2 linked regions of the Macaca fascicularis genome follow. The protein of the gene in region 1 purifies or fractionates together with the protein of each later gene. This does not show direct contact. Links are inferred from orthologs where the notes say so. Each region holds a gene or a part of one and is shown in the gene's direction. Other genes may lie near its edges. The genes, in order: PTCD3 and YBX1.

What was found.
Region 2: the proteins of PTCD3 (region 1) and YBX1 purify together in Homo sapiens (co-immunoprecipitation; 4 studies listed by BioGRID and IntAct, with this or other methods). This does not show direct contact. The link is inferred for Macaca fascicularis from reciprocal best matches to the Homo sapiens genes PTCD3 and YBX1.

What each region holds. Positions count from the first base shown.
Region 1 is NC_088387.1:35,442,296-35,446,107, reverse strand, and holds part of PTCD3 (small ribosomal subunit protein mS39), read left to right. Parts: intron 1-335; coding exon 336-421; intron 422-869; coding exon 870-1,018; intron 1,019-1,921; exon of another isoform or gene 1,922-2,058; intron 2,059-2,567; coding exon 2,568-2,609; intron 2,610-3,009; coding exon 3,010-3,168; intron 3,169-3,500; coding exon 3,501-3,591; 3' UTR 3,592-3,812. UniProt on the Homo sapiens protein: Mitochondrial RNA-binding protein that has a role in mitochondrial translation.
Region 2 is NC_088375.1:192,186,428-192,190,980, reverse strand, and holds the start of YBX1 (Y-box-binding protein 1), read left to right. Parts: upstream 1-1,445; 5' UTR 1,446-1,584; coding exon 1,585-2,384; intron 2,385-2,421; coding exon of another isoform or gene 2,422-2,485; intron 2,486-4,553. UniProt on the Homo sapiens protein: DNA- and RNA-binding protein involved in various processes, such as translational repression, RNA stabilization, mRNA splicing, DNA repair and transcription regulation.

The sequences.
Region 1 (3,812 bases):
CTGCCCTCCTGCTTCACAAGACTGCTGTAATGAGTAATAAAAGTATATCAAAAATTCCCAAGTGCTATAAAACAGTGTCTTACCACGTGGAGCTGGTGACCGCTCCCATGTAGTGCACGTGCTGTGATGAACAAACACTTCACTGGAACAAGGCCCAGGCATTGGCTTTTACATTTGTTCCACCTTGAATCCTGGTGGGTTTCTGGAATCCTGGGATAAGCCTAGAATAAATAACAGCAACTTATTTTTACCGAGCAAAAAATAGGTTGACAGTGAACAAGAGAGTGTTGGTTTTACATAACAATGATCACTCCTTGTTCCTTTCTTGTCTCAAGATAGTAAAGAATATGGTTTCAAGTTCCGCAACGACCTGAGAGAAGAGATCCTGATGCTCATGGCAAGGGACAAACACCCACCAGAGGTAGGCCTGAAACTCCAGCCAGTATATCCTCCCATACTGAGGTCTTAAGGCTAGCTTCCCCAGTTTCATCTGCCATTTTGGAGAGTTCTGCCACCCAAACCCATATTTGAGTGATGATACATCTAAACATATCTTGCCTTTAGCAGAAATCTGTCCTTAAAGTTACCCTCTTTCCTGTAGTCCAAAACAGGCAACATGAAATTAGCTTCTGTCTTCAGCTTGCTTTTTAAAAAATCTCCATCTATAAAGGAAATGCATAGCTGAATGTGAAAGTTTGTGGCTAATCAAAATACTTAGGACAGGGTCCTTTTTTAATTACTCGTGTGCTATACACATAATATATTCAAATGGTAAAATGCATTTCTCAGAATTTAAGGATCCTGTAATTCTGAACTGAAATTCTCACAAAATCAGTTAGGCGGTTCTGCTGACTCCTAAAGCTTCTCAGCTTCAGGTGGCATTTGCTGACTGTGCTGCTGATATCAAATCTACATATGAAAGCCAACCCATCAGACAGACTGCTCAGGATTGGCCAGTCATCCCTCTCAACTGTATAGCTGTCCTCTTTTTAAGGGCTGGGAGAACTCAGGAAGCCTGGTGAGTACAGTACCACAAGTTTACACTTTAGAAGCTTTTGTATTTGGATCTAAAACATTGACCCACGCTGGTAGAAGTTCTCTGATTTGGCCATTCTCTCATTTGGCCATGTAACAAGTATTTGATTCGGGAACTTGCAAATACCAACTAAAAAGGAAACTTTTGGAAGAAGACAATATGCATGATGTATTTGAGATAAGGCCTGGTTCTCTCAAACCATAGGCTGAGAATTAATTATCTTTCCCTTTCTACTTTCTGTGTCTATGGACAAGTAAGTCACTTAACCCCATTACTCCACTTAAATGGACTAAAGATCAAAGAAACATGATCAAGGAAACATAGTTTTGAAAATGTTTTGGTCATTTGGGTTATTGAAGTATTTTTGGATGCTTCTCCCATCCCGCTCTCCAGCTTAAAATGTGGGCTGTGTACTTAGACATCTGGAAGCTGGCATTTACGCACATTAACTAAACTTGGCCTTGACCACAACCCATCCTTGGTTGGTGCCGCTGTGTTCTGGTTATGTTTTTATCAGCATTTCATTCACATACTAATTTTTGTGTTTGTGAATGGGAACCTTAGCCATATTCATGTTTCCAAAAATGAGCAAAAGGATCTTTTGTAGGGATAGTGACAGGTGGTTTTCCTGTATTTTGTTTTGTATATAAATGTGTGTTCTAAGAGTCACGAGTGGGAGGTGCTTGTGCATGGCTCCTTGTACAAGAAAGTAACTATTTGAACATCCGATTGCCAGTCACCTATCTCCAGGAAAAGATGATGAAGGCTTGTCTTTGAGGTGCGGCTCACACATGCTCCTCTAGCAACTATGCTGCTAGTGACAGAGACGTATGACATTGGCATTTGGTTGTTAGCTCAGGCAGTTTGGCACACACTTGATACGACCAGGCTGTGATGATTGGCGCAGGGGTACGGACCTCAGCTGAGTCATGGGAGCTGAATGTATGTGTTTCTCTTTTGTCCTGCGTGTGGCAGGCTAATGGGGAGCACTTACATGAGACTGTTGCCTCAATCTGAGCCTGCTCTTCATAACAGAATTCTAAGACAGACTGAACCCCTGCCGTATTTTAAGAGAGGGAAACAGCATTGTTCTGTTTGCCTCTTTTCCAGCTGTGCACAGGATGGATTCCCTCCCTAGGACAGTGGTGATCCTCTACAAGAGGACAAATACAGTTGGAGTATCCCTTTTCCAAAATGCTTGAGACCAGAAGTGTATGGGGTTTTAGATTTTGGAGCATTTTTGGATCAGGAATATTCAACCTATACCAGCAAATCTTGACATTGGTAGCGTATCAGATTTACCTGTGAAAATTGCAGTATAGATTCATTTGGGGAGTTTAAGCACCTGTGGTGATTCTCATGTATACGCAGGGCTGGGAGCTAGTAGAGCCCACAGATGTGTGTCTTTGGGAGCTTACAGTGTAGTTAAGAAAAGGGCATTTAGTCTGTGATTACAGAGGGATGACAGCTATAGTATCTGATTGCCTTGTTTTTCTAATAGTATTCATAATTTTTTTCCTATCTTGAACAGGAAAATGTTGGGGCTTTTCAGGAAGCATAATAAGATCCCTAGGTAAGTTGAAATCAGTCAGCTCTCTTTGAGTACGGCCTAGAAGTAGCCACATTTGGAATTTCTTCACCAGCCTTAGCCACCACATTTGGGCACTCTTCTGTTAGGCAAGCATACCGTCAACTCCCTACTATCCAGGGCGTCCTGAGGCAAGCAGTTTTTTATCTGTGCTCACGGGTCACCATGAGCTACACAGAATAGATCATCATGAAGTCATATTGAAAATCCCTTTGGCCCTTTAGACTTTCCAGCCTCACTGGAAACAAAATAAATGTTAGACTTCATCTAATTTTGTCTCCAGAAGTACTGTTGGGAATCTATTACTGAACTTATACTGGATCTTGTCTATAAATGTTTTACTAAAGAGGCTGGAGAAAGTTCACACTTTGCCTTTCTTTTACAGAAATGAGTTGCTGAATGAGTTTATGGACTGTGCAAAAGCATCTAACAGCCCTTCCCAGGCCATTGAAGTAGTAAAGCTGGCAAGTGCCTTCAGCTTACCTAGTTGTGAGGGCCTCACCCAGAGAGTAATGACTGATTTTGCAATCAACCTGCAACAAAAGTAAGTGGGTCACCACGAAGGAAAGTTTGTAAAATGGTGCAGACCTTTCGTCCATCTGCCCATTCAAAATGTTCATAGCTTTCTATCCCCTGTATTTCCTTGCAGAAGGTCAGAATGTAGTAATTTAATGATGATTTCATTTGTTATGCAAGTCAGGAAGGCCTCTAGATTTGACTGTTAGAATCTTTTTGTTCCTAATATACTTTAATGCAGCTGCAGGGTCCCTTTTTCTGCTTTCAAAACTGATAGGCTATAGGTGAGTGTCAGAGACACCAAGAACCCCAGCACCTAATTGAATTGCAGTGTAATCCTCCATTTTCTTTTCTTAACAGGGAAGCCCTAGGTAACCTAACTGCACTGACCAGTGACAGTGATACTGACAGCAGCAGTGACAGCGACAGTGACACCAGTGAAGGCAAATGAAAGTGGAGATTCAGGAGCAGCAATGGCCTCACCGTAGCTGCTGGAATCACACCTGAGAACTAAGATATGCTAATATTTAACACTGTTACAAAGAAGACAAGATAAAGATTTGGTGAATTTGTTACTGTGAGGCACAGTCAGTACACAGCCCAGTTCTGTAGATTTAAGCTCCTAATTTGCTACTTAATAACCATCTATTAATGCACTGTTAAAGGTTTAGC
Region 2 (4,553 bases), on another chromosome or scaffold:
ACTGACTCAAGAAGGCCTTTAGGAGGTGGAACTGACAGGCCTAGACGGCATTGGTAGGGGTAAGGGATACTGCACTAGCCTCCTAACTGCTTTCTCTACTTCCATTCCTTGCCCCTCTGCAACCCATTCTCCACTCCGCAGCCATTTTTAAAAAGATGCCCCTCCCTACTTACGACTCTAAAATTGCTTTTCTCACTCTTCCCCTCAGGATATATTTCCAATTCAATACACCTAAGTGACTCTGCCCACCTCTGCAACCCAATGTCACATTCGAGTCTTATTGAACTACTTGACTGCATTTCCCGAGATCCCACCCCTTCTCGCCTGTACCCTGTGCGCAGAAAGTCAGCCCTCCACCTTCTCCCTGCTTCTACTCCCAAAATACTTCGTGCTTCTGCAGCTCTGGAGTATTTACCGTGTTGGCTGTTTAAATTTCTGCCTCCATCAGAAGGCAGAAACTGACTCGCGAACTATTCCATCCCCAGCCGATAGTAGACGCTTAAAAAAGAACGAAAGAAGGTGGGTGGAGGACTTCAGTAACATCAGGTGGCAGCCTCAATTTTATCGTTTGTGAAACGTGGATAGTAATTCCTCTATCACATGGCTGTTGTACGAATTAAATGAAAAAAAACATAGGACGCTAGCTTGTTCAATAAATGTGAGTTGAATTAAATCTGATTTGTGGCCAGTAGAAAAACACGTTAACACTTGAAAAGGAAGACACATTTTTAAAAATATATGCCTGGTAAAACGGATCAGAAGGCAGGTCCCCACGGAGCACACCCTCGCCCTAAACATGCTGAGCCCGGGCTGCCAGAGCCTGCGTGGTCCCTCCAAGGTGACTGCTCCGACAAAAGCGTACGCTCTTCAAACGCATACGTTTAAGGCAATTCCAGAAACCCTCGGCTGTGCCGCGAGTACACGGCCATTAAAGAAAAGACGACTCTATGCCCGCCGTAATGTTCTCAGATCACAGGGACCGTATTTGGTGCAGGGAGGGAGGGAAGCCTTTTCTTCACGGGGAGCTAAGGCGTCGTCGAGCCCCCTTCCAATCCCGGGTCCGGCCGGGTAATCCCTGCCCAGCGTTCGGGCGTGCCTTTTTTTCAGCCGAGACACAACCCTGAACGTCGGGCCCGCCAGCCCGGCGACTGCCTCGTGGAAGTCACGTTCCCTCTGCCCGTCCTCTCAGGTACTCTATGGTTTTCGTGGCCGACTACTCTAATTCTAGTTCCGGTCTCTATGGCGGCCGGCGGAGGCAGGAACGGTTGTAGGTCGGCTGAATTAGCCGCCAGACAGCCAATGAGAGTGGAGGACTGATAAAATGTTAGTCAATAGAAGCCAGGGACTGAGGTCAGGTGGGCAGATTGACAGTACCACCGGCCAGTGAACAACGCCTAGGGCGGGTCGATCGTAGGGCTTATCCCGCCTGTCCCGCCATTCTCGCTAGTTCGATCGGTAGCGGGAGCGGAGAGCGGACCCCAGAGAGCCCTGAGCAGCCCCACCGCCGCCGCCGGCCTAGTTACCATCACACCCCGGGAGGAGCCGCAGCTGCCGCAGCCGGCCCCAGTCACCATCACCGCAACCATGAGCAGCGAGGCCGAGACCCAGCAGCCGCCCGCCGCCCCCCCCGCCGCCCCCGCCCTCAGCGCCGCCGACACCAAGCCCGGCACTACGGGCAGCGGCGCAGGGAGCGGTGGCCCGGGCGGCCTCACATCGGCGGCGCCTGCCGGCGGGGACAAGAAGGTCATCGGTGAGGACCGGACAGGGACGGGGGTGGGGCCTTCGGGCAGCCTGGCAGCGGAACCGTTAGCCGGGGCTGGGCGAGCCGGCGGGCGCGCGGCCGGTGGGGACCGACTCCGCGGCGCGCGGCCGCCCCTCCCCCCGCCCCCCCACTCGCTCTTGCGGGGGCCCGCCCGGCAGGCGCGCGCACACTGCCTCCCGCGCCCCCTGTGGACCCCGCGCGGCCGCGCGCCCCTCCTCCTGCGGCCGCGCGCCGCCGACCGCGTGTGCGACGGGGTCCCCTCCCCGCCGACTGGCCTCGTGCGCTCGGGCCCGCACGCCGTTGTTCGCGTCTCCCCCACCCAGCTCCCTTCCGCGTGTGCTCGGAGGGCGCGGCGCACCGCCTACGCAGTCCGGAGCTGCTTCCCCTTCCCTCACGTGCTCTCCGTCCGCGGCCTGCGAACACACCCATCCTGGGCCCGCGCCCCGGGCCTGCCCGGGAGCGCCCCGCGCTTCAGACTCACCCACGTGTGCGGCGGCGGCGGCGTGGCCCCGGCGCGGACCCGCACCCAGGCGGTGGAGAGAAAGGGCTGTCAGGTGGCCGCGGCGGGCAGCGTGCGAGGGACCGGATGCCGAAGCGAGACGGGTTTGGAAAAGGATAGCTGGTAATCGTGGCTTGTTTTGCTTTGTTTTCTTTTCCAGCAACGAAGGTTTTGGGAACAGTAAAATGGTTCAATGTAAGGAACGGATATGGTTTCATCAACAGGTGAGCTGCTGGGCTCTGAAGCCTCCATCCTACCTTCTTGCTTGCTTCTTGCTGTGCCAATCCACAGTCCTCTTCTGAAAGGCGTTTACTACCTCTGGTGTATTAATGTGATTTTTTGTCTGTTTGTTTTCCTTGACGACTGGAGGGATTTGGGTTTAGAGAATGCCTTTGTTTTGCAGCTAAATATTAATTTGAAGCTAACTTCAAGGGCTTCGTCACAGCACAAAGCAATTTAAAAGGCAAGCGGAGTGAATGAGCCATTCCTTAACAGGGTAAACGGGAAAGTACGGTCCAGTAGATTTTTATTCTTGTCATCCTTTTCTACTTTATTGAACTCGGTATTTGAGAATGTGATCCACTGACATCGGATATTTACGCCTTGTTAACATTTTGGGGGTAAGAGGATTTGACGTGTCAAGTATATGAGGTTTTGTCATCTTTACCGAGAGGTTGTATTGCCTTTGTTTCACGTTTCATTTTAATACCTGAGATAAATTCTGTATTAGCACAGCTTTGACCAGAGAGAACTGTTTTTATTTGTTCATAAATAATATATCTGCAAGAAAATGGTTTTTTTCCTTCAGTTCTTATTTCATTCTTCCTTGTCCTAAAATCATGCTGATGAAGTCAATTTCCGCTAGATCCCTGGCTGTAGCTTATTAGAGTGGCCATAGTCACTAGTAACTTGACATTGTTCTTCCTGTTTGAAGGTAAAGCTGCAGATACGTCTTTAGGACTTACCCTTCGGGTTGTTTGTGGCAGTGGTGGTGGTAACGTGCAGTAGACGCACAGTATTCCATGGGCTTCCTTGTGAGCCGGGCATCATTTTCAAGATGGCTGCCAAGGCTAGTAGTGCAGTTACATGGGTGTAGAGCACTGGGTATGCCAGTAGCAATCTTGGCCTCACAGGTATGGTACTTAAGTGCCATCTCAGCATTCTCTTGCTTACTTACTGTAGAAGACCTAAGCAGATGATTAAAAGAACAACGTGGAATGGACAACAAATGGGCAAAATCAAGCTTAAGGACAGATTCATGGCCTGATGAAAAACTGTTCATTAATCAATCATAGAGTATTGTGGAAATACTTAAAGTAAGAGATAAGCATTTGATGATCTATTCTCTACTTTTGCAATTGTGGGAAAACATTTTGTTTCTTCCAGAATCTTAGGATTTTCCAACTTGTTCTATACTGTTTGCCTTCCTGGCTGGCTGAAACTACGGTTTTCATTAATTTTTTGATAAAAGCTTACTAGCAAAGAAGAAAGGGAATGCTTATATATGATTGGTAAACTGATAGCTTTTTAACTGATCTGTCTGAATTTGTTAGTGTTTTAGTTTGTATTTGTGTCTTACTGACTGTCCTTACTAGTCTAACTCTTAAACCAGTGGTTTTCAAATTTAAGTGTGCTTACGTTGGAAGGGTGTGATTTAAGTGGTGTATTTCTTCTGAGCTTTGGATTCATTAGGTCTGGGTACATTTTTAACAGGAATGATAATGGTCTTCGGGCCATACCTTCAAAATCACTGCTTTTAACCCTTGACCCAATGTAATGGTAACTCTGGTGTGCAAATATGCATCCTTTTCAGCAGATAGATCGCAGTTTTTGTATGTGTTTAAGAAGTTTTAGCATGTGCCTTGTTTCGCTGCATTTTTTTTTTAAGTGGGCATAGGTTATGACATTTTTTGAAATCAATAGTTTTGTCCAAAATAAGAGTATTATCTTTACACTTTATAAGTATTTAGTCCATGAGATACTATTCATTGAATATCTCTGTTCTGAATTGGAATCAACTCAGTTGGTCATCCTCCAGGGCAAGTTATGAATTGGCTTTTGATGGTCCTTTGGACTATCCTAACCTCGATTATTTTGTCAGATTAACTGGTTAAAATATTCTTTATGCTTCTGAACTGGTTGTTTTAATTATTCTGGGATTTTTTTAATAAGATGCTGTAAAATCTGACTCCAATTAAATACAGGGAAGATTTGCTTTAATTAAGGAAAATGTATGTGTTAAATCAGTTTGGAAGCTAGCAGTTGGTTCTATATGTAGTTCCTGTAGTAGAA